2 linked regions of the Elephas maximus indicus genome follow. The protein of the gene in region 1 interacts with the protein of each later gene in a pairwise test. Links are inferred from orthologs where the notes say so. Each region holds a gene or a part of one and is shown on either strand. Other genes may lie near its edges.

Region 1 (11,470 bases):
GCGCCTGTGCCCCGCGGGTGTGTTTTCGCGAGCCGCGGCGGTGGGCGAGGGGATGGGGGCGTCGGGACCCCCGCCCGCCACCTACCGTCCTCCTTGTCCAGCACCATCATCTCGGGCGCTCCGTGTCCAGCCGCAGCTCGGCTCGGCCGGGAGAAGGGCGCCGACTCCGGGCGCGCTTCGGTGGGGCGGCGGGTCCTCGGGCAGCGAGCGAGCTCTAATTACCCGCTTGTCCGGCTCTTAACCTAGATTGCACTCAGCTAGAATTACATTCAGGAGTGAAGCACTTCGCAGCTACAAAAGCAGTCTCACCTACTTTTGTGCCTCAGAATTGCCAGGAACTACGAACTGCAATTTAGAGACAGAGGAGGAGGAGAGAGAAAGGGGGTGAAAGAGGATCAGAGCCGTTTCTTTGATTTTCACCTTCTAAATGGCTCAATTTGCCCAGTATAATCTGTCTTAATGTAATTGCATTTGATAGCTCATAACCCTGGCTCTGGCAACGACACAGCTTTCAGCCTCATAAAGTGTTTTCCCCTCGGATTTAATCTGAATCTCAATCTAAAATTATATTCAAAGAGATGGGAGAATCTCAGCGGCCGTCTCCCGCTGCCTTTCTCCCTCAATGTACGAGGTTTGCACTCCGGCTACTGAATAAATGCACACATTTCCCGAGGCCCCCCTTCTTCCCGGGTTAATGGGGAGTGGAGACGCGCGGCTGTCCGGCTCAGCAGCGCCACCTGGAGGCCACTCTGTCCCCGCTCAGCGCGTTCTGGTCCTGGGGTCCGGGATCTTGCACGTCTGTCTGGTGAACAAGCCGGGTCTGTTACTCCCAGGCCTTCAACCTCGCTTTCTGCACACCCCCACCGCCCTTTGGCTGTCTTTCTCTGACCCGTCCTCTCCCTTCGTACCTGCTCTGCCTAGGGTTTCTGGCTGCTTCCCGGATTGTGTGGCAAAGCTAATCCTCTGCAGGGCACAGCCACCCTACCGCCCTGAGTCTTACAGCGCTACTCCTGACCCCAGCAGCCCTCCAAGAGCATCCTGCTTCCATGGAGAGAAGGCTTTTCTCATTCCACAAATAATTATTGAGCATGTATTATGTGCCAAACACTGTTCTAGGCACTGGAAATATGGCAGAGAATAAAACAGAGACTCCTGCTGCTATTACAGAGTTGACAATTCTTCAATTCTTGCTCTGTAATTTAGGGGGCTGGAGTGGCAACAGTGTTCACATCCTTCACTCCTGGGCCCTGCTTCTCCCCAGAGCCCCAGCGCTGATCGCCTACTCCAGGAAGGCCATCCACTTTCAAATTCCAAGAGGTTTTTTTTCCCCCCTTGACAGTACAGAGTGCTAGGATGGAAATCTTAATGATTTTTCTCCAGCCCGAGGAGGGCTCCAGGCAGCTGTGTTGGAGGCTGAGTCCCGGCAGTCACTTCTGAGGACTAGACCCAGGCAAGGAGGGGGAAGCTGAAGTTCCTGGAGGGATGCAGGGCCACGAGCTGGGACTCTCATCTCTGCCAATTACCGACAGTGGACCTTGGCAACCCACTTTCTCTCTCTGAGCCTCAGTTTCCCTGCTTGTGAAGTGGGAGACCTTCTCTGCCTGTCCCCAAGTTTGCTGTGAGGATGAGATGAGATAAAGCATGTGAATGTGGTCTGTAAACTGTGGCACCCTGGACAATGGGGGGATTATTGGGTACAAAGGAGACCTGGAGGCTGGGGCTTGCCCCTTAAACCCTGGAAGGCCCCAAGGCAGGGTGTGCTTATGGGGGGGGGGCTGCAGCCCAGCCTCCTCTGTCCTAGGCAGAGATGTCAAGCTTTGAGAAAACAGAACAGAGGCTGCTTCTAATGAGATGCTTCATCCGAAGCTCAGAGGGTTTCGTTTTCCCCTTCATCTTGAATACTTAATCCTAATAGTCCTTGAGTATATTTGATGTTAAATATATCATTTTGCACAGACTCGCCATCCCTCAGGACTGTGGGCTTGATCTGTCCCTTGCCACTGCAGGCGGAGTCATAGCCTGAGGGTCCGACGGAGGCTTTGGCATTGCCATCAGGCCACCAGTGCTGCCACTGGCACATTTCGTGCCAGCCCCTCACCCCAGCCTGCTGGGGACAAGACAGTGTAGCAAGCACAGTGCCTGACAGGTCAGCAAGGGGCAGCTTCTTTCTGCAGAAACCTTCAAGCTACCTGGGGGCATTCACTCCAGAAGGGTTGCAAACTGACTCCCAACCCCCAGGGACCGCTTCTCCTCACTTTTGGGGTCTGGCCCTGACCCACAAACCAGGACTTGACAACGTGGAGCTGTTTTCCCACTCTCTTGCTCAGGTGTTGTGCCCAGGACTGTTCGTCCTAACACTAGTTCCTGCCAGCCTCCAAAGTACCCAGTTAGCAGCCATGCAGCTGGCATCCCCATGGAGAGTCAGGACACCTTGTGCCCCGAGCAATGTGGATTACTGAGCAGTGGGCTGCAGAGGCCAGTAGGGGATGTCAAAAGGGGATTGGTGCTGTGTGTAAAGGGCTGCTGTGCCCAACGGCTGTTCTCTCTGCACTCGAAGTCAATCTGGAGAAGGGCCTCCACAGCTAAGTTACAAAGCTGACCAGCAAGACCTGGAGGGTTTGGGTGGCTTGAGCTCTAAGCCAGGAAGGGACCTGCTGGGTTGATGGAGCAGTCATGAGCCACACTCATCTGGTGACCTCCCTTCAGCTGGAGGGTGGTTGTTAGGCAGGCAGGTATCCCACCCCCATGCTCACCCACACCCAAGATGCCTTCAAGTCCAAAGACATGCCTCCCACACCAGGGAGGAATACCCAGCTCCCCTGGGGCTGAGGGAGGTAATTTTGCCCAACACATTCCACAGGTGATGAGCACGTACTCAGTTCAACAATGCCAAGAGTGCTCCAAAATGCTCTTGAAATGCCTCTGGAGACAGCAGCCGAGGCCAGTTGATCAGCACCCAAGGTCACAGTGAGACAAAAGGGGGTGCTACGGGCTGCCTTACAAACTTCTAGGTAAGACCCAGCAGTTTGTCGCTGCACCTGGCAGGAAAGTCCTAAGGAAGGGTTCCTACACTGGGGGTGGGGAGGGTACAGGGAATGGGACTCAGTGCCTGAAGACCTGGGCAGACCAAATATTCCAGAACTCTGAGATGGAAGCTGTCAGATGTGCCTCAGCCTGAGGGCCCTGCTCCCAACACAGTGCAGCTGTCTCCAAACTGACCTCACAGAGAAGTAGTCAGGGTGACAAGTGCCCCTTCGCTGTGGTTGCCACAATTGACATGACAGAGTGATCCTATATACTTTGTCAGCAATCAGGAGGCCTCCTGGCCAAGTTCAGGTGTGCTGCCCTGCCTCCTGCTCACGCAAATGCAGCTGATGCACAGGAATTTACAACCAGCTGGAGTGGAGAAGGAAACCCTGGTGGTATTGTGGTTAAATGCTATGGCTGCTAACCAAGAGGCTGGCAGTTCACATCTACCAGGTGCTCCTTGGAAACTCTGTGGGGCAGTTCTCTGTCCTATACAGTTGCTATGAGTTGGAATTGACTTGATGGCAATGGGTTTGGTTTGGTTTTTGTTTTTTTTTTTTTTTTTGTTTGTTTGTTTAGAGTGGAGAAGTGCACAGTTGGAAGACTTTTCCCCTTTAGGTTTCTGGGGGGCCTGGGACAGGCCTTTTCAGAAGCTGTGGTCATAAACTGTTAGGTCTCATGGAGGCCTAAATCAATTCTGTACCCAAGCAAACAAGTCTCCCCCATGATGGCTAATCTAGCCTGCATGCCGGTCCTGAGAAGGCTATTCATGTAGAGTGATCAACTGTTCCACTTTGCCCCAGGACTGAGAAGTTTCTCAGGACGCAGGGCTTTCAGTGCTAACACCAGGACACTCTCAGGCAAACCAGGACAATTAATCACCATAATGGGTAGGTAGGGCAGTGGAACAAGGGATTAGTGGGGCCAGAGAGGAAGTCCAGGCAGCCAGGCCCTTTCCCTGTGCAGATCAGTAGCTGCCTCCTGCCCTAGCAGCTTCATTCTGTATTAATGGACTGTCCTAGCCCCTGGGGACTGTCCACAGATCAGTCAGGGTTGGGAGTTCCCCTTAAACAGGGGCAATTGGAATGGGGACAGTGTGAGTTAAACCCAGGGTTGGATCTAGATTTTCTGAGTATGGAAGCTTACTTATGTAATTTGGTAGTCTTTTTTTTTTTTTTTTTTTTTAACCAAAACGTCAGCAGTTCAAATCCACCAGCTGCTCCTTGGAAGCCCTATGGGGGCAGTTCTACTCTGGCCTGTAGGGTCGCTATGAGCCGGTATCGACTCCAGGGCAATTTTTTTTTTTCCTTGAAGAAACGCAACACACGATCAACGAAATCAAACCAAACCAAACCCATTGCTCTCTAGTCGATTCCAACCCTACAGAACAGAGTGAAACTGCTCCAAAGGGTTTCCAAGGCTGTAATCTTTGGGGAAGCTGACTGCAGCATCTTTCTCCCTCACAGCGGCTGGTGCGTTTGAACCGCCGACCTTTCAGTTAGCAGCCGACTTCTTAATCACTACGCCACCAGGTCTCCTTAATACAAGGTTAAAAAAAAAAAAAAAACTGCCGTAGAGTCGATTCCAACTCATACAAGATCACTGATACAAAACTACGGCCAGGGACCCAGCAGCTGAAGGGCCCTGAAGCTTAAATTTCATTAGCTTCAAGGTAAATCCGCCTCTGATTGAACCTGATATTTTGGACTATATGGCCCACCCACCTACTCTGGTCAGCGCAGCATCTGCCAAAACCCTGGGCTAGGTGACCCGATCGCGTTCTCCTCAGCCCTGCCAGGGGCGGAAGCGATGTAACCGGTCCCGCAGCTATGAAATCCCAGACCCGAGGGATCCCAGGACAATACTGGCTTGGTTTTCTGGGCACCCCCTGGAGGACTGGCTCTGCAGTCCGGTGCCTAAGAGGGAAGTGCAGGTACTCGAGAAGACAGGGAGACCGACACTGCCGCGGAGCCCGCGGCGCGGGCTAAGGGTCGCTCCTGGTGCCTGCAAGGCGGCAAGAGCCAGTGAGAAAGTTCGCGGCCGGAGCATGCTGAGCTGGAGGGCTCGAGGTGGCCCGTGAGACTTCCTAATGCCTCTGAGGAACCCCGGAGGCTGAGCCTGGCACCCCTGGAGACACACACACAAACACACGCGCGCGCACACACACAGCAGCCGCCGTGCTTCCGGGAATCAGCTAAACCGACCAGAGGAGGCCAAAGCGGGCTCGGGGGCCCAGCCGCCGCGGGCTGCGTGTCCGCTCCGCTCCCCACGCGCCTCCAGGCACCGGCGCAGCGCGTCGGGCACCTACCGTCTTCCTGGTCCAACACCATGGTCCCCCAGCAGCTCCAGCAAGGCCCGGGCCGAGGACGCGGAAGGGCTGCGCTGCTTCTCCGGCCCCGCGCGGGCTCCGCGCTCCGCGAGCGGCGGCCGCGGACCAGTGCGGGCGCCCGGGCGCCCGGAGCGCAGCTCGCTGGGCAGGGAGTGAGAGAGGGAAGACGCGCTGTCGCGGCGCGGAGGGGAGGCGCAGCCGCACGAGGAGACGCGGCGGGGCTGCCGGGCCGGGATCGCCGGAGCTGCGGGAGCAGCTGCTGCCGGCACCGGGCGGGAGATGCTGCGGGAGCCTTCGCGGAGCCGCCGCTGGCCGGGCCGGGCAGGAGCCGGAGCTGCAGCCACGCACCCGTTTTCGCCGCGCTGGCCGCGTTCTCTTCAGAAGAGTGAAGCCTGCATTTCCCAGGGCCCCTCAGATTCCCCTGTTAATTAAATCAATTCATTATGCTCAGATCTGATTAGCGGCCCTTCCCCCCCCCCTTTGAATCAATTATTCAATACACAAACATAATTGCTTGGGCCAGAGGTGCCCGCCATTAGCTTATTTAACTCCAAGGACACTAATTACCCGCAGGGCACGGGAACTTTTCTCATTAATTCTGACAAAACACAAAAGCACAGCCAGAGTGTGTGCGTGTGAGGGACCGTATGTGTGTGTGACCACATGCCAGTGTGAGGGGCTGTGTGGGGTGGTGAGCGACTGTGTGAGCTGAGGGTAATACTGGGGGGGCGGGGAGAGCGGGTTGGCCGAATGGTTGTGATTTCAGTTGAAAGTGTGGGAGTGTGTAGTTTTGAGTATGTGACAGTGCCCTTGTGAGTGTGAGACAGGGCATGTGATTGTGAGGGGCCCTATAAGCTCATCAGGCTGGGTGTGGCTGAGGGTCTAGGGGCTGTGGGCCAGGGTTTGAGACCCAGCATTGAAATGTGTATGAGGTTGTGAGAGCGCTTGGGTGTGACTTTGTACGACCCTGTGGCTACTATGGCAGGCGCCCCCATCTTTTTCTTTTTACTTTATTGCCCTCACCACTGCCTGCTGCATGTCCAAACCCACCATGAAAAGTGCAGACCACAACAGAGAAACCAGGAAGAATCAGGAGACTGTGGGTGGTGCTGGAACCAGACTGGGGCACAGAGGGGCTCAACCCTCTGAAGATAAAGGACTCCAACAACTCCCAATCCGACCCTCTCTAACACCTGTTTGTGCACTGGCTGGAGTTTGCCTGCCCGGTTCCCCAGTTATAAACCCTAGGTTCCCATCTCCCTCTTCCTTTGCCTTCTCACTATATTGCTCCCACTCTCCCCTTTTACCCCAAATTATCCCCCCCACATATTTCCACATGTGTCTGACACCCAAGAGTGCCCCCCAACTCCACCCACCCTACATCTAGTTCTTCACCTCCAGTTTGCAAGGCTGTAAGGAGGGTGTGCCTATGGTTGACCAATTTCTCCACATTTTACCTCCCAGGAAATCTCTGTTGAGAGAGCCCACAGAGGCAGGGACACAGAGGGTAATTGATTCCCTCAAATTAGGTTTCTGGTTTCTAAAGACCGGTATTGTTCCTGTTCTCAATGTGCACAGAGGTATTGAAGATTTCCTTTTTGTTTCCTCGGGCAATGAATGAGCTTAATCCATTTGGCTTTATAAATCAGGAAACTAATATTCGCTCCTTCCATAGCAGCTTTTTAAAATTTAATTGGTGGGGGAGGCGCAGTTAGTCACCCTTATGCTGTCCCCACCCCCCCCCCCCCACACTTATCAAAATATTTTCTGATAGGTGTGAAGAGAAGGCTCTTGGTTGGGCGGGGCGGGGGGGGAGCTCTTACCCTGATCTCCCCTGTCCTCCTCCATCCTTGCACTTGGACCCACACAGTTGGTATCTGGAAAAGTTTATGAAATGATTGAATGAATTCAATTTACTGAGGAAAGGCGGGGTGGTGTTCAGAGGTGCCCTTTTGAATGATCTCCCAAATTGTCTGCTTTCAATTTCCCACCAGCATGGAGTACAGACATGACATGCCCTGCCCAGGTATGGCAAGTCCTCCATCCTGCAGAGGTCACTAGAATCATCTTCTTGGTGCCAAGATTTGACCCTGATATTCTTCTGATCAAAACTCTCTCATGGCTCCCTATTGTCCTAACTGCTTACTTTATTATTTTAGGCCCTTTAATGTAATTGAGGGAGTCCCTGGGTGGCACAAATGGTTGAGCGCTTGACTACAAGCCAAAAGGTTGGCAGTTCAAACCTACCCAGAGGTGCCTCAGAAGACAGGCCTGGTGATCTGCTTCTGAAAGGTCACAGCCTTGAAAACTCTACAGAGCAGTTCTGCTCTGCTCACAGGGTCACCATGAGTTGGGATTGACTTTACAGCAACTCTCAAAAACAACAAACGTAATTGAACACATCCTGCAGGTTCTTGCTCCAGCAATTCTTCTCATGGCATCTCTTCTTAAAAAGACCTCCCCACCTCTCAAAATCTTGTAGGGACACAACTCTCTTCCCGATTCCCCTAAGTGGGTGTCTCTGTGTAAAATCTGGGGTTGCTGAATGGTGCATGGATTATTTCATTGAGATCTGGAGATAAGGTCAGCTCCTGGGAACAGGGTTTCAGTTTTCCTCTGGAGAGGATGACAGATGTGGCAGTGTCAGGAGCCTACACTGCCCAGCTACACAGAGGAAATGGGAGCTGAGGAGGCAGAGGAGGGAACCCTACTTTTCTGGGCTGCAGCCTCATGGCTTCCCCAGAAGAATGGAGGCTCAGAAAGACAGACTCCTAGAGCAACATCTTTCTTTCCAGATCCCAGATAGATGGCATGGAACTAGAGTCCAGGAGCTAGCCTCCCTCTAGAGCATCTCCACATTCTCTCTGTTTAGTTCTCTGTGTAGCTGGGCAGGGCTACTGCCTGGATATGTGCCAGCTGTTCCCTGCCCTAAAGCATCTGGCCAAAGGGGCAAGTGGGGACTGAAATTCTGTCATCTCTCTGCTCTCCAAGCCATGTGTCCTGGCATGAGCTGCACCACCCAGAGAGGGCACCACTTGCTAATTTGCACAGAGGTTCCATATGAGCTAGCACAGCCCTGCAATTGGGTATGTTGGATTGTCCAGAGTTCACACTGGGAGAGGTCAGCCTGACAGGCAAGCACCCAGCCTCCCTTGCCCCACCCTCACTCCTATCAAGGGCCTGTGGGGTCTCTTGAAAGACCAGCCTCCTGGTTTTCATACAGAAAGATAAATTTCAGAGAGCTCAACCATCATGGTGTGGTCAGGGACACTGAAATAGATGCCCAGCCCCATTCCGGAATATAAATGGGGCGCTAAGCCCACTGAACTCAGTCCACAGCTAGGACTCAGACATGGACAGATCTATCATAAGGACTGAGGTTCCCAGTGAAGGCCATGCTGGAGGAGGAAAATGAGATTTCTGAGAGGAGAGCCCCTTGGGTGAGCTAGACTGAGCAGCGTGGCCTGGCATTTGGAGGGACCAACAGTTTAATGTATAGCACAAGAATGGGTCTGGCCCACTCCCTATCAGTGCTCTAAGAGGGCAGTGGTATAAACAAGGAAATGGGTCACTAGGGGCCCTACAGCTTGGTTACAGAAGCCCTGAAAGAGCTGGTCACTAGAAGCAAATGGTATCTCTCTGCTGGGATGAGAAGGAAAAGAGCAGCAAGGGTCAGCAGCTGGGTGGGGTTGGCAGCAGCTTGTGGATAGAATGGACGACAGTCAAGCAAGATGGAGAGAGCAGCAGGCAGCAGCTGTAATGATATGGGTGGCATTTATACCCTCAACCCATCAACCCCCACCTCTCAATTTTGTGATTATCATAGACAAAATGACTTCATTCAGAACTCAAAATCTAGTGGCCTCCAGAGGGTACTTGGGTTATACGTATAAGCATTCCTGGAAGGTTTCATAACTTTTTGGAGAGGAGGATCCTGAGTCAGGAATCAGAGCATCACAATTTGGGTTTAATTGTTGTAAATGTGTGAGATTGGGTACTTTTCTATGACCTTTCTGTTCCAACCTGTCTTAGCTGAATGCTAGGCATGAAGAGAAAGGTCATATGAGCAAAAATGAACCAGAACAATAGTGGGGAAGCAGCCCCATCACCGGCCTTGCCTGGTGGTAATGGAGCTCAGTAGGAGATGCAAAGGGCACAGTGTGAATGTCAGACACTAAACGCTTTGCTCCCACTGCCTTTCCCTACCTGGAGAGTCTTCTGAAGCCACGCTTGCTCTCCATTGCTCCTGAACTACTGTTTCATTTCTCTTCTCCCTAGCCCTTTGATCCCCTTACCCGTTCCAGTCTCAGCAGATGAGATATGAGAAGGCATAAGGCAAGAAGGCCCCCTTCCTTCTGCCTCCAGGTCTAGGCTCCTACCTTCACCTGCAGCATCTACAACAAGCATACAGTCACATTCCCCTTCTCTCCTGAACGTTGGAGAAAATGTCCTTCCTTCTACCCTGGCCTGATCCCTCAGTGTGTGCTCTGGTCCCTTGGCTTCCACCTTTCAAGGCATCCCATTGACTCTCCCCCCATCTTCAATAGCCTCATTCTGCTAGACCTTTCACAATAGCCAACAAACAAACTCTGATATCTGATCCAAAGCAAGGAAACAAGCTCCCAGGACCCTACATCTTCCCGGAGATGCCTTGCTTTCTACTCTCCTTTATTGCCATGCTTTCTTGCTTCCCATTCTCTCCTTACCGATTCCTATCTGTCTTCAACCTTCACAAGGTTAATCAAGGATACCAATGATCTTGATGCAGTTAAAGGACTATTTTCAGGTCTCACCTTGCCTAGGCTCTCAGCATTTAATGCAGTTGGGCCTTCCTTCCTTCTTGAACATTTTTCTTCCTCAGACTAACACATAAGGAGTCCTGGGAAGCACAAATGGTTAAGCGCTGGACTACTAACTGAAAGGTTAGTGGTTGAAACCCACCCAGAGGCACCTTAGAAGACAGGCCTGGTGGTCTGCTTCTGAAAAGTCACAGCCATGAAAACCCTATGGAGGACAGTTCTACTCTGCACACATGGGGTTGCCATGAGTTGGAATCGACTTGATGGCAATTAACAATGACAGATTAACACATTCTCTGGGTTTTCCTCCCACCTTTCTGGACATTCCTATTGGTCTTTATTGCCAGCTTCTCCTCTTTCATCTAACCTTTAGCAGTTGGCAGTCCTTGGGAATGGGTGCTAGGCCTTCTTGGAACACTGTTCCCTGGGATGCCATCCACAGCTGTCAGGCCGTGTCTGACCATCACTCAGGATCTCTCCTCTGAGTTCTACACCAATACTTCCAACTGCCCATCTGACATCTCCACTTGGATGTCTCCATGGTATCTTAACTTTTAAAATCCAAAACTGAACTCCTGATATTTCCTCCCAAATCTTTCTTCATTTTGTCTCAGTAAGCCAGCCACCCAGTTCTGAATGCCAGAAATCTGGGAGTAAAGCACAATTTCAATCAAGTCAGAAAAAGCTAAAAGAAAAAAGGGGGAGGGGGGGAGAAACAATAAATAAATAAATAATATAAATAAGCCGGAATAAGTAAAACTAAGTATATTAGTATACTACGATAAATGTGCAAAGACTGAATTTCCCTGTCAAAAGACACATTGTCAGAGCTTAAAAAAACAAGAATGCAACCAAATGCTGTTTATAAGAAACACTCCCAAAACAAGGCGACAAAAGAGATTGAAAATAAAGCAATGGGTAAAGAACAAAATAAACCAAAAGAAAGTAGGAAGAAATTAATTAGGTTAAAATCAGAAACTAATGAAATAGAAAATAATAATAAACAAATTAAAACCAAAAGCTGGCTCTTTGAAAACACAAACAAAATAGTCACCCTTCCAGGCAAATCTGGTTAAAAAAAAAAAGAAGATGGAAAGCAAAATATCCATTAATAGGGAGAAGAAAAGAGCTAAATTACAGGTACAGAAAAAGATTAAAGAACTGCGACAATAATATTTGTAATCCTACGAAAATAAACTTGAAAACCTAGAGGAAATGGACGGTCTCCAAGCAAAGAAGAAAACTACCAAAATTGGACACAGAAGAAGGTGAAACCTGGAATAGGTCAATATGCAGAAGAGATTTGATAAGAAAT
Region 2 (11,145 bases), on another chromosome or scaffold:
GACAGATCCAAAGCAGTATAGCAAAGGATTTGAGAACCGAATTATGATTTAAACCTTCAGCCAAGTCCCAGATTAATCCCTAAGTAGCACAAAATCCGAAACACCACAGCAAAGGTTTTGAAAAACAAACTAATATGGGAATAACCACCCACAGAAAGGAAGAAAGAACTTGCAATATGAGCCTAATGGGGTTGATTACCTGTTAAATATAAAAATCAATATTTTCCAGAAGATTTTAATGGGATACAGAGTCTCATGTCTCATGACATCACATTTTAAATGCCCAGGATACAATAAAAAATTACTCAGCATACAAGAAGGAAAATGTGACCAATTCTCAAGGGAAAAGGCAATCAACAGTTGCCAACCCCTAGGTGACTTAGTTGTTGTAATTATCAGACAAAGACATTAAAAAAACTATCACCTCCATGGTCCATGAGGTAAAGGTAAACACTGTTGAAATGCATGGAAAGGTAGACGTTCTTAAGCAGAGAAATAGAAACTATAAAAATAATCAAATGGAAATTTTAGAACTAAAAGATATACTACCTGAAAATAAAAAGTCACTGTATGGACTCAGTAAGTGAATGAAGATGACAGAGGAAAGAGTCGGGGAACTTGAAAATAGATTAATAGAAATTATCCAATCTGTATTATAGAATAAAGGTTGAAAAGTAATGAACAGAGCCATAGGGACCAGTGTGACAATATCAAAAGGTTCAATGTTCATGTTATTGGAACTCAAGAAGAAAACAGATTGGTAGAGAATTAAAAAAAAAAAAAAGTTTAAAGAAATAATGACCAAAATTTTCCAAACTTGATGGAAGACAAAAATTTACAGATTTAAGAAACTCAATAAGCCTCAAACAAGATAAACAAAAAGAAAACTATGCCCAGACACATCATAATGAAACTGTTAAATACCAAAGAGAAAAAAAAATCTTAAAAATCTTGACAGGAGCTAGAGAAAAACTATAGCATGACTACTATTCTCATCAGAAACCCTGGAGGCCAAAAGGCAATTAAACATGGTCTTGTAAGCACTGAAAGAAAAAAACTATCAACCCAAAAGAATTCTACTATACCCAGTGAAAATATCTTACAGGAATGATGGTAAAATAATGGCATACTTAAATAAAAGAAATCTAAGAGAATTTGTCTCCAGCAGACAGACTCTAAAACACATGCTAAAGGGAAATCTTTAGGCTGAAGGGAAATGATAGAGGGACACTTGGAACTTCAGGAATAAAAGGAAAGCAACAAAAAATGGTAAATATATAGGTAAACAGAGAAGACTATTTTTCTCCTCTTAAGCTCTTTAAATGCAGATGACTGTTGAAAACAAAAAAATACAGATTGTAAGGTGGCGTTTTCAATGTATGTGGTGTAACACATACGCTACTTATAATGTAAAGGGGGAAGGGTAGAGGAACCTAAAAGACTGTAAGGTATCTGTATTTTATCTGAAGTAGTAAAAGATTAACTCTAAGTAGACTGTAAAAGTTTAGGCATGTATGTCGTAATCCCTAGAGCAAACAGTACATATATATATATATATATATATATATATATATATATATGCCAAAAGCCAATAGATAAATTAAAACAGGATACTAAAAATATTTAAACAATTCAAAAGAAGGCAAGAAAGGGGGAACAGAAGAACAAAACATAGAGAAGACCAACAGAAAATAATAAAAGGATAGACCTAAATTTGAACATACCAATAATCACATAAAATTTAACAGTCTAACACACCAATTAAAATATATAATACAGAGATGTTGTAAAAAAAATAAAATACAGAAGTATACAGCAGAAAGGGAGCAGCTCCTGTAATAACCCAACACCCACGTCCATGAAAGACATAAAAAATTCTTCCATATTTTCCTACTATCTTACCATCATATTGATATTTATATAGGAAAAGAATGGAAGAATTCTTTCATGCCATGTACTAGCTCGTAATCAGGAAAACAGTACCAAAGGCTTCTTGTGCTCGCCATTTGACAGGTACAGACATGTTTTTCTTCATCAGTAACCCAGATCTCCCAGGAGTCTGTGTGGCTGACAGCACACTAGCCCTTTGGAACTAGACTTGATCCCAGTGCTGTTAGAAAACAATGCCTTCAGCTCCCTCCACCCCACCACCGCTCTTGGTTCTCCCTCACTGCTGGCAGCAGGGGGCCTTTACCACCACCTTATCAAAGAATCAACAAATCATGGTTCTGGGGTTTAGACTTTGAGCCTTTTTTCCATTAACTGGCTGCTCCTCCATTACTGCTTTTAGAAGGGAAATGGTTTTAGTTATTTGAATATTCCTCTTAATTGAATTATGAAGAAAGCAAGAATTTATTCCACTTATGCATGGGAAGAACACAGGACTTGATACCAAAGATCAGATTTAAATCACAGCTCTCTCACTCACTTGGGCAGGTTATTTTACTCTCTGGACCTCAGTTCCCTCATGTGTAAAATGGTTTGACAGGATCAAAAAATATACTTGCAAATAGTAATATTTCTTCACCTTCTCCATCCAATAAGGAAAATTCTGTCTTTGCTTCCTTGTGCTTTCCCTCTTCTTCCCCCATCATCCCATCGTCCTACCTCCAGCATGCTAAGGATGGTCTGTTTTTATCAGATTGCCTCCCAGACCTACGTTATGCAGAACAAGGTAATATTTAGATTTATGTTGACAAGAACAGGGGCTAATGGGCTGAAGGAAGAAGACAGAGAAAACTGAAACATGAAACAATGGAGAATATTTATAAAAGGCCTATGCTTGCTCAATTTGAGAGATTTGGGGTGGAAGTTTGGCGTGGGCAATGAGAAACTTTGATGTGAGATAGCTAAACAGAGGAAGGGTGGGAGATGGATGGATGGACGGACAGATGGACGGATAGATGAGTAGATGTTGTGTGCTGTTGAGTCGATTCCAACTCACGGTAATCTTACAGGACAGAGTAGAACTGCCCCATAGGCTTTCCTAGTCTGAAATCTTTACAGGATCAGATCACCTGGTCTTTTCTCCCACAGGGCAGCTGGTGGGTTCTAACCACCGTCCTTTTGGTTAGCAGATAAGCACTTAACCATTGTACCGCCAGGGATAGATAGATAGATGTTGTTGTTGTTAGGTGCCACAGAGTCAGGTCCAACTGATAGTGACCCCATGCACAACAGAACAAAACACTGCCCAGTCCTGCGCCACCCACACAATCGTTGTTATGCTTGAGTCCATTGCGGCAGTCAATGTGTTAATCCATCTCCTTGAGAGTCTTCCTCTTTTTTCTCTGACCCTCTACTTTACCAAGCATGATGTCCTTCTCCAGGGACTGGTCCCTCCTGAAAACATGTCCAAAGTATGTGAGACATAGCCTCACCATCCTTGCTTCTGAGGAGCATTCTGGATGTACTTCTTCCACGACAGATTTGTTTGTTCTTTTGGTAGTCTGTGATAGTCAATATTCTTCACCAACACCACAATTCAGAGGTGTCAATTTTTCTTCAGTCTTCCTTATTTATCGTCCAGTTTTCACATGCATATGAGGCAATCGAAAACACCATGGCTTGAGTCAGGCACATCTTATTCTTCAAGGTGACATCTTTAAAGAGGTCTTTTGCAGCAGATTTGCCCGACACAATGCGTCTTTTGATTTCTTGACTGCTGCTTCCATGGTGTTGATTGTGGATCCAAGTAAAATGTATAGATAGAGAGCAAAAGAGAGAGAGGATACAAATAGGAAGTAGAAGGAAGAATAAAATAAAATAAAATTAAAAAACCAGCTGCCGCCAAGTCAAATCCGACTCATGGTGACTCCATGTGTGTTACAGAGTAGAGCTTCTCGGTAGGGTTTTCTTGGCTGTAATCTTTACAGAAGTAGATCAGCAGGCCTTTCTTCCATGGTACCACTCAGTGGGTTCAAACCATTAACCTTTCAGTTAGTACTTGAGGGCAAACTGCACCATCTCGGGACCTTGAGGGAAAAACAGGAGAGAGAAAAGAGAAGATGAAAGAAGAGGAAGGGATTTGCTTTAACCGATGAACATATTCTCTTCTAGGGTTTTCCATTTAGTGAGAGACAAGAGTGGAGCCCTGGTGGTGCAGTAGTTAAGAATTTGGCTGCTAACCAAAACGTTGGCAGTTTGAATCCACCAACTGCTCCTTGGAAGCCCCATGGGGCAGTTCTGCTCTCTCCTATAGGGTCACTATGAGTTGGAATCAACTGGACAGCAATGGGTTTGGTTTGGTTTCTGAGAGAAATAAAAGCTCAAATGGTCTTTGCGATGCCAGATTGATGTTTCTCAGCACACTGTGGTACCTAGAAGAGGCCAATAAGTAACGCTGACTTTATACGGGCCACATGGGGTTAACCCTCTTATCTCTCACTGAAGCTGAGAGGGTCCAATGAAATTACAGATGTAAAAATTTAATTGTGTTATTATTATGTTACCTTTGGCTTTCCACTTGGATCTTAGTTCAGGTAAGTTACTCAAAGTCATAAGCACCAAGCAGCTTGAATAACAGAGATGTAGAATTGTGAAATCTTTGCTTAGGTCTTTGAGAAAGGCTCAAGTGCTCCTTAACATCCTTCCAATCAGCCAGCACCACTACACTGGTTTAGATAGTACACACATCTCTTAGCCTGCATTCCATGTTAGGACCAACCTGTTTGTTTCTCTGCCTCTTTCACTAGATTGTAAACTACGTGAGCAAAAGATCTTACTTACTTGTCTCTCTATTCTCCGCATAGCAGGGAGTGTGAAACACGTTGGGCACGTAAATTGGGATAATATTGAGATAATCTCTCTCTCTTTCTCTTTCACACACACACACACACACACACTGGTACTTGTACCTCGTGGCTCTTTCCCCAGTCTAGACAGCCAAGGCATCCCAACTTCACTGCTTCAGAGAAGGGAGGCATGGCAAAACAAAGAGAATAAAACCAGTTAACTCTTAGCTTTCGGTCTTCAAAAAATGAGCTCCTGATACAAACAATAGATTTGGATGGATACTTGTTGGACCAACCCCTCCATCCCACCCCCAACCCAGAGGAAATAAAAATAACCTGCGCTAGAGGAGAGGAGAGCTAGAGAAGACAGCAAGACAGATGACGGTAAGTGCCCCAGAGAAAGCTCCTGCACCTTGTCCTCTCTTCTTTGGGTTAAAGCCAGGGGTGAGGGTATCTGGTTGTGGCTAAGGAGATTAGAAACCCCATGCCGATTTGGTAGATCCTAGAGTAAATGAAAAAGAGTCCTGGTGGCACAAACAGTTAAGCGCTCAGCTGTTAACCAAAAGGTTGGCAGTTCAAACCCACCCAGGGGCTCCATGGGAGAAAGACCTGTCAACCTGCTTCTGTAAATATTACAGCCAAGGAAACTATGGGGCAGTTCTACTCTGTCACATGGGGTCACGATGAGTCGGAATTGACCCAACAGCAAACAACGACAGCAGAGTAAAAGAAACCTGTGCCTTACTGTAGGTGATATTGAAAAGATGGGGGAAATGGGCTCTTCTGTGCATCCCCATACACAGTAGGATTGGAGACGGCAGCTTTAGAATTAAAACGGTGCCTGACAAAGCTAGACTGAGAGGGCCTGTGATAGCCCTGTGGAATTCCCGAGATTCCCTGAACTGCTCAGAAGAGCTGTCAAACATCTCCCACACACACAAAGAAGGCATAGAAGATAGCTGAAAGAGCCAACGGTTCTGCAGATGCTACGATATCAGAACAAAAATATCACAATAGATGTCAGAATTTAGAAAACACTGGGAGACCAACTGGGAATGCAGAACTCTCAGCAACTAAAAACCCGACAGCTAAAAGCCTGACTAGGTCGTGCTCAGAGGCCACACATTTCAACAGTAGTCAGGGTAGAAAGAAGACCACTGAACGCCAGATGCCTGCTCTATCCCAGTCATGCACACACACACACACTCCAAGGACTTGAACTTATACACAACCCTGGGGAGAAAGTGACATGGAGAAATCTCTGAACTGGCTCAGAAAATCTGGAATTAACTAAGTTTCTGCCACCAGGAGGAATGAGGACCCAAGAGAAAATGTAACAGAAGTTATAGAAAAATAAAGCTACCTTTGTTTCGCAGATCTGAATTTTGAACTGGAAAATTCATGCTCACTACAAATGTTTGATGATTGAGTAAACAAATAAAAAAATGGGAGGTGGGGGGAGCTCTGCTGCAGTAAGCCCTTGGTGCACCAGTTTTGGCTATTCCCCTAAAAAAAAAAAAAAAATTCCCCTAGGAAGACAATAATTACTGAAAAGAATATCTGCTTTCTAGTCCTTACTCAGCCACTTACTATCTGTGATTCCTTGAGTAGGTTGCAAGTCTCTTTAGACCTCAGTTTTCTTATCTGTAAAATGGGGATAATGATACCTTCCCTGACATCTTGACAATGTTATTGTGAGGGTCAAGTGAGACAGCATGTGTGAAGGTGCTTTATATGGGGTTATAATAAGAGCATGTGGATCACCCCTGCCTTGTGGTCCAAGGACTAACAGAAAAGTAGATGGACTCAGGGATCAAAGAATTCTGTGGTACTCTACTTGTCAACCAAAACGTTCTTCTAGAATGAACAAGGAACAGTGGCTAAGTTTTCCCTGCAACCACATCAGAGCTAACTGGAGGATATCAAGGGTTACACTCTCAGTATCAGCCCAGCACACTTCATCAGGAAGAAATTCTCTGGATCCAAAACAGATTTGTTTTCATTGTGAAATAGTCTATCTGCTGAGCAACAACAAATTAAGCTCTGGGTGACTGTTCCCGTAAAACACGTCCTGTGCTTTACACTGCTATTATGGGGTGGATAGGCATGGTAAAGAATCAATTAAAACTCTGACACATTAAATGGAGTTCGAAGACCTGTTTCGCAGGTTTCCCCAGAGGAGAATAATCATGTTACATTACACTTTGGAAGCCGATCGAGGCAAGATTTCGGAGACAAGTTCTGGGGTTTACAAGACAGACTTTAGCTTTTCTAAATCATTTTTGAAGTGTTGTTCACAGGATTACAGCATTCAGTTCACTAGGCCAACAGCATTATGGTGGAGCAAGGGGGATTATCATCATACGGGCATCCTCCGGAGAACTGTAAGTTCCCTTCAAATGCATTTAAAGAAATGATGGAAATATTGCAGTATTCATATTTACGGTCATTTTGAAATGAAAGCGAGTGTTAAGCAAGTAAAGCCAGATACTTAAACTGAATTTCTTTTTTAGTTTTATAATACGGTTCTACCACAAAAGGGGAAGTCATTGTTTAGGAACTCTCAAAAGAAGTTCTAGAATTTCTAGATGTTCTAGATGAGCCTCACAGTGAGCGAGAGGGTCAATAGTAGAATATGAATAATTTTGTGGTTATCGCTGCTTAAATTATGCTTCTATGACAGTAAGGAGGAATGTTAATGGTAAGAACAATGTGTTTTTTGGCTAACTCAGACATCTGTGTAAACCATCTTCAGTCTCATTGCCTAAATAACTTCTGTCTCTCAACATGAACAAGAAGAAAAAAAATTGAGGTTAAGGCAGTATATTTTCAGAAGTGTTGCCTACAAATGAGCTTCAGCAGAAATAAAGAATTGAACAGGAAAAAAGCCAGCCAAGCGTCAGCAATAATCATTGTTGAGGGACAAGTAAGGCTTGCAGACGCAATCCATGGGTCAGGAAATGGTTTGGGGGACTCAGCTAACCCCCAATTTTGAGGGCAAATGCAGAAGCAAAGAACTAGAGAGAAAAAAACACCATGAGGATGGAGTGTTAAAGACATGCTTTCAAGACATTTCCCCAGAAGAGAGAGACAGCAAGTATGAAAAGGAAACCCAGAGTGTAAAGACAAGACCAGTCCTGCCCATTCAAGTGCTCAGCTTCAGTAAAGAGCAGGACATTTGCAGTGGAAATGTTCTCATGGTGCAGGAATCTGTTCAGTTAGGAAACTAAAACAGTTTGACACTTCCATATGTGGATTCTGCCCACAACATCTTTTCAAGGATGAAAAGGTGAGAAGGGGCTAGTTAGATGGAGGCTGGGGATACCAGTTTTGTTTTTTTGCTTTAATTGTGCTTCAGGTGAAAGTTTACATCTCAAGTTAATTTCTCATTCAAAATTTATACACATATTGTTTTGTAACATTAGTTGCAATCCCCACAATGTGACAGCACACTCCCCCCCGCCCCGCCCCAGGTTCCCTGCGTCCATTCGACCAGTTCCTGTCCCTTCCTGCCTTCTCATCCTGCTTTTGGACAGGAGCTGCCCGTTTGGTCTCTTATATTTGACTGAACTATAAGCACACTCCTCATGTGTATTATTTTTTGTTTTATAATCCTAACCTTTGTCTGAAGAGTGGGCTTTGGGAATGGTTTCAGTTCTGGGTTAATAGTGCGTACAGGTACCATAGTTTTGTGAGTTCCTCCAGTCTCTGTCAGATCATTAAGTCTGGTCTTTTTAGGTGAATTTGAGTTTTGTTCTACATTTTTCTCCTGCTCTGTTCAGAACTCTCTGTTGTGTTCCCTGTCAGGGTGGTCATTGGTGGTAGCTGGGCACCATTTAGTTTTTCTGGTCTCAAGTTGGTGGAGTCTCTGGTTCATTTGGTCCTTTAGCCATTTGGGCTAATATTTTCCTTGTGTCTTTGGTTTTCTTCATTCTCCTTTGCTCTGAGTGGGATAGGACCAATTTATGTATGTTAGATGGCCACTCACAAGCTTTTAAGACCCCAGATGCCACTTACCAAAGTGGAATGTGGAACATTTTCTTAATAAACTATGTTAAGCCAATTGACCTAGATGGGGGGACACTAGTTTCAGCCCAGTGTACCTCTCACTATAATTTTCCAAAAAAGACATTTTGGATCTTTTCTTATTTAATTTGCCATCTAAATCCTTAAGGCCCTTTCAATTGCTTGGACAAAGTTATTGTATGTGTTTTTTATTTATTTATTTATTTTGCCAATTAATATGCAAGTGTGTCTGCTGATGCTTTCTTAATCTTTGTAGAACAAGGGCCCCTCAGGGTTACTGAAATTGTGCCAGGACCTTGAAGCCTTGTGGTGCTGCCAAGGTCCTTGGGTTTGTGCCTGCCCTGTACTCTGCTATCCCATCCCCACCAACTTTTTCACCTCAAATACACACTCCCACTACACTGGGATTTCTCCTGTCATTTCATACTAAAAATGTTTCCACTGCTTAAAGCCAACCAAAAAATTGAATATCATTAAAATATCCAAATTTCTCATTTGGCAGAAAGGGGAATTTAACTTCCAGGAGAATTTTAACAAGTTAGTTAAAGGTAAAAGAGCGATAGAATTCAGGTCTATGGATAACTAGTTCCACCATACCAGCCTTCCTTTGCCTTTTCCCAAAGGAGTTGGTAGGGTCTTCTTTACCTCACCTGCCTTCTATCTCAACTTAGCTCATTACTTGTCTTTCAAAGCTTTACCACATCCACCACATAGTCCTTAAGGATAAAGCTATAACCCCCTAAAGGTGTGCATCAGGGTTGTGTCCTTTTACCATACCTACTCAACCTACATGCTGAGCAAATAATCCAAGAAGCTGGATTATATGAAGAAGAAAGGGGCATCAGTATTGGAGGAAGACTCATTAACAACCAGTGATATGCAGATGACACAACTTTGCTAGCTGAAAGTGAAGAGGACTTGAAGCACTTACTAATGAAGATCAAACACCACAGCCTTCAGTATGGAGTACACCTCAACATAAAGAAAACAAAAATCCTCACAACTGGACCAATGAGCAACTTCATGATAAATGGAGAAAAGATTGAAGTTGCAAGGATTTCATTTTACTTGGACCTACAATCAACACCCATGGAAGCAACAGTCAAGAAATCAAAAGACGCATTGCATTGAGCAAATGTGCTGCGAAAGACCTCTTTAAAGTGTTGAGAAGCAAAGATGTCACCTTGAAGACTAAGGTGTGTTTGACCCAAGCCATGGTGTTTTCAGTAATCTCATATGCATGCGAAAGCTGGACAATAGATAAGGAAGACCAGAGAAGAAATGATGCCTTTAAACTGTGATGCTGGTGAAGAGTACTGAATATACCACAGACTGCCAAAAGAAGGAACAAATGTGTCTTGGAAGAAGTACAACCAGAATGCTCCTTAGAAGTAAGAATGGTGATACTACGTCTCACATACTTTGGACATATTATCAGGGGGCATCAGTTCCTAGAGAAGGACATCATGCTTGGTAAAGTAGAGGGTCAGTGAAAAAGAAGAAGACCCTCAACAAGATGGACTGACACAGTGGCTGCAATAATGGACTCGAGCATACCAACAATTGTGAGGATGGTGCAGGATCAGGCAGCATTTTGTTCTGTTGTACATAGGATCACTATGAGGCGGAACTGACTTGACAGCACTTAACAACAACGACCCCTCTGCAGTCAATCAAATCCCACAAACACCTACTGAGCACCTAGTCTCTGTAGCCCAGGTGCCAAAGATCCTCAGATGAATAAGATACAATATCTACTTTGGAATGTATATATATCCTGTTACAATTAAAGGCATAGTATAATTGTACTATAACAGAATTTTTTTTAATGTACCATGTTATTGGAACACAAGAGAAAGGTGAAGTGAAGGGATACAAAGAGGCTACAAGACAGCCAGGAAATAAGCCTATTGGATAAATTGAGGATCAGCTCATGCAAACCTGAAATGTCTTCAAACTTTATCCTGGGAGAAGTGGGAGAGCCTGTAAGAGTCTTTAAGCAGAAGGATGATTTTGATTAGATCTATGCTTCAGGCTGGACATTTTGACTGGAGAGTCAACAACAAAATGGAGGGTCTGAACCCATCCATGGTAACTGGACAAGTAGAGTCGGCTGGCCCAGTGACAGAGCATGAAGAATGAACCAGGATATAAAATACCTGCCTGATCAACTTTCAGTTAAGTAATTGTTATCATCTCTCTACTAAATTTGAACTCAAAAATATTGACTGGGATGAAAAATAGTAACCTTTTTTTTTTTTTTAACGATTTTAAAACAGCCTAAACCCATAATTTTGCACATCCTACCAGCTTTAGCATCCAACAGAGTTTTTAAAGTAAAATTAACCTGCTGCCTCTTTTTCTGAAGATTACTCATAAAGTCTTG

The links.
Region 2: the proteins of LMO1 (region 1) and PTPN3 interact in binary tests that used the Homo sapiens proteins (3 or more experiments, as listed by UniProt). The two-hybrid records come from large-scale screens. The link is inferred for Elephas maximus indicus from reciprocal best matches to the Homo sapiens genes LMO1 and PTPN3.

What each region holds. Positions count from the first base shown.
Region 1 is NC_064825.1:63,480,953-63,492,422, forward strand, and holds the start of LMO1 (rhombotin-1), read right to left. Parts: upstream 5,373-11,470; 5' UTR 5,358-5,372; coding exon 5,336-5,357; intron 1-5,335. UniProt on the Homo sapiens protein: May be involved in gene regulation within neural lineage cells potentially by direct DNA binding or by binding to other transcription factors.
Region 2 is NC_064827.1:59,012,762-59,023,906, reverse strand, and holds the start of PTPN3 (tyrosine-protein phosphatase non-receptor type 3), read left to right. Parts: upstream 1-6,948; 5' UTR 6,949-7,068; coding exon 7,069-7,117; intron 7,118-11,145.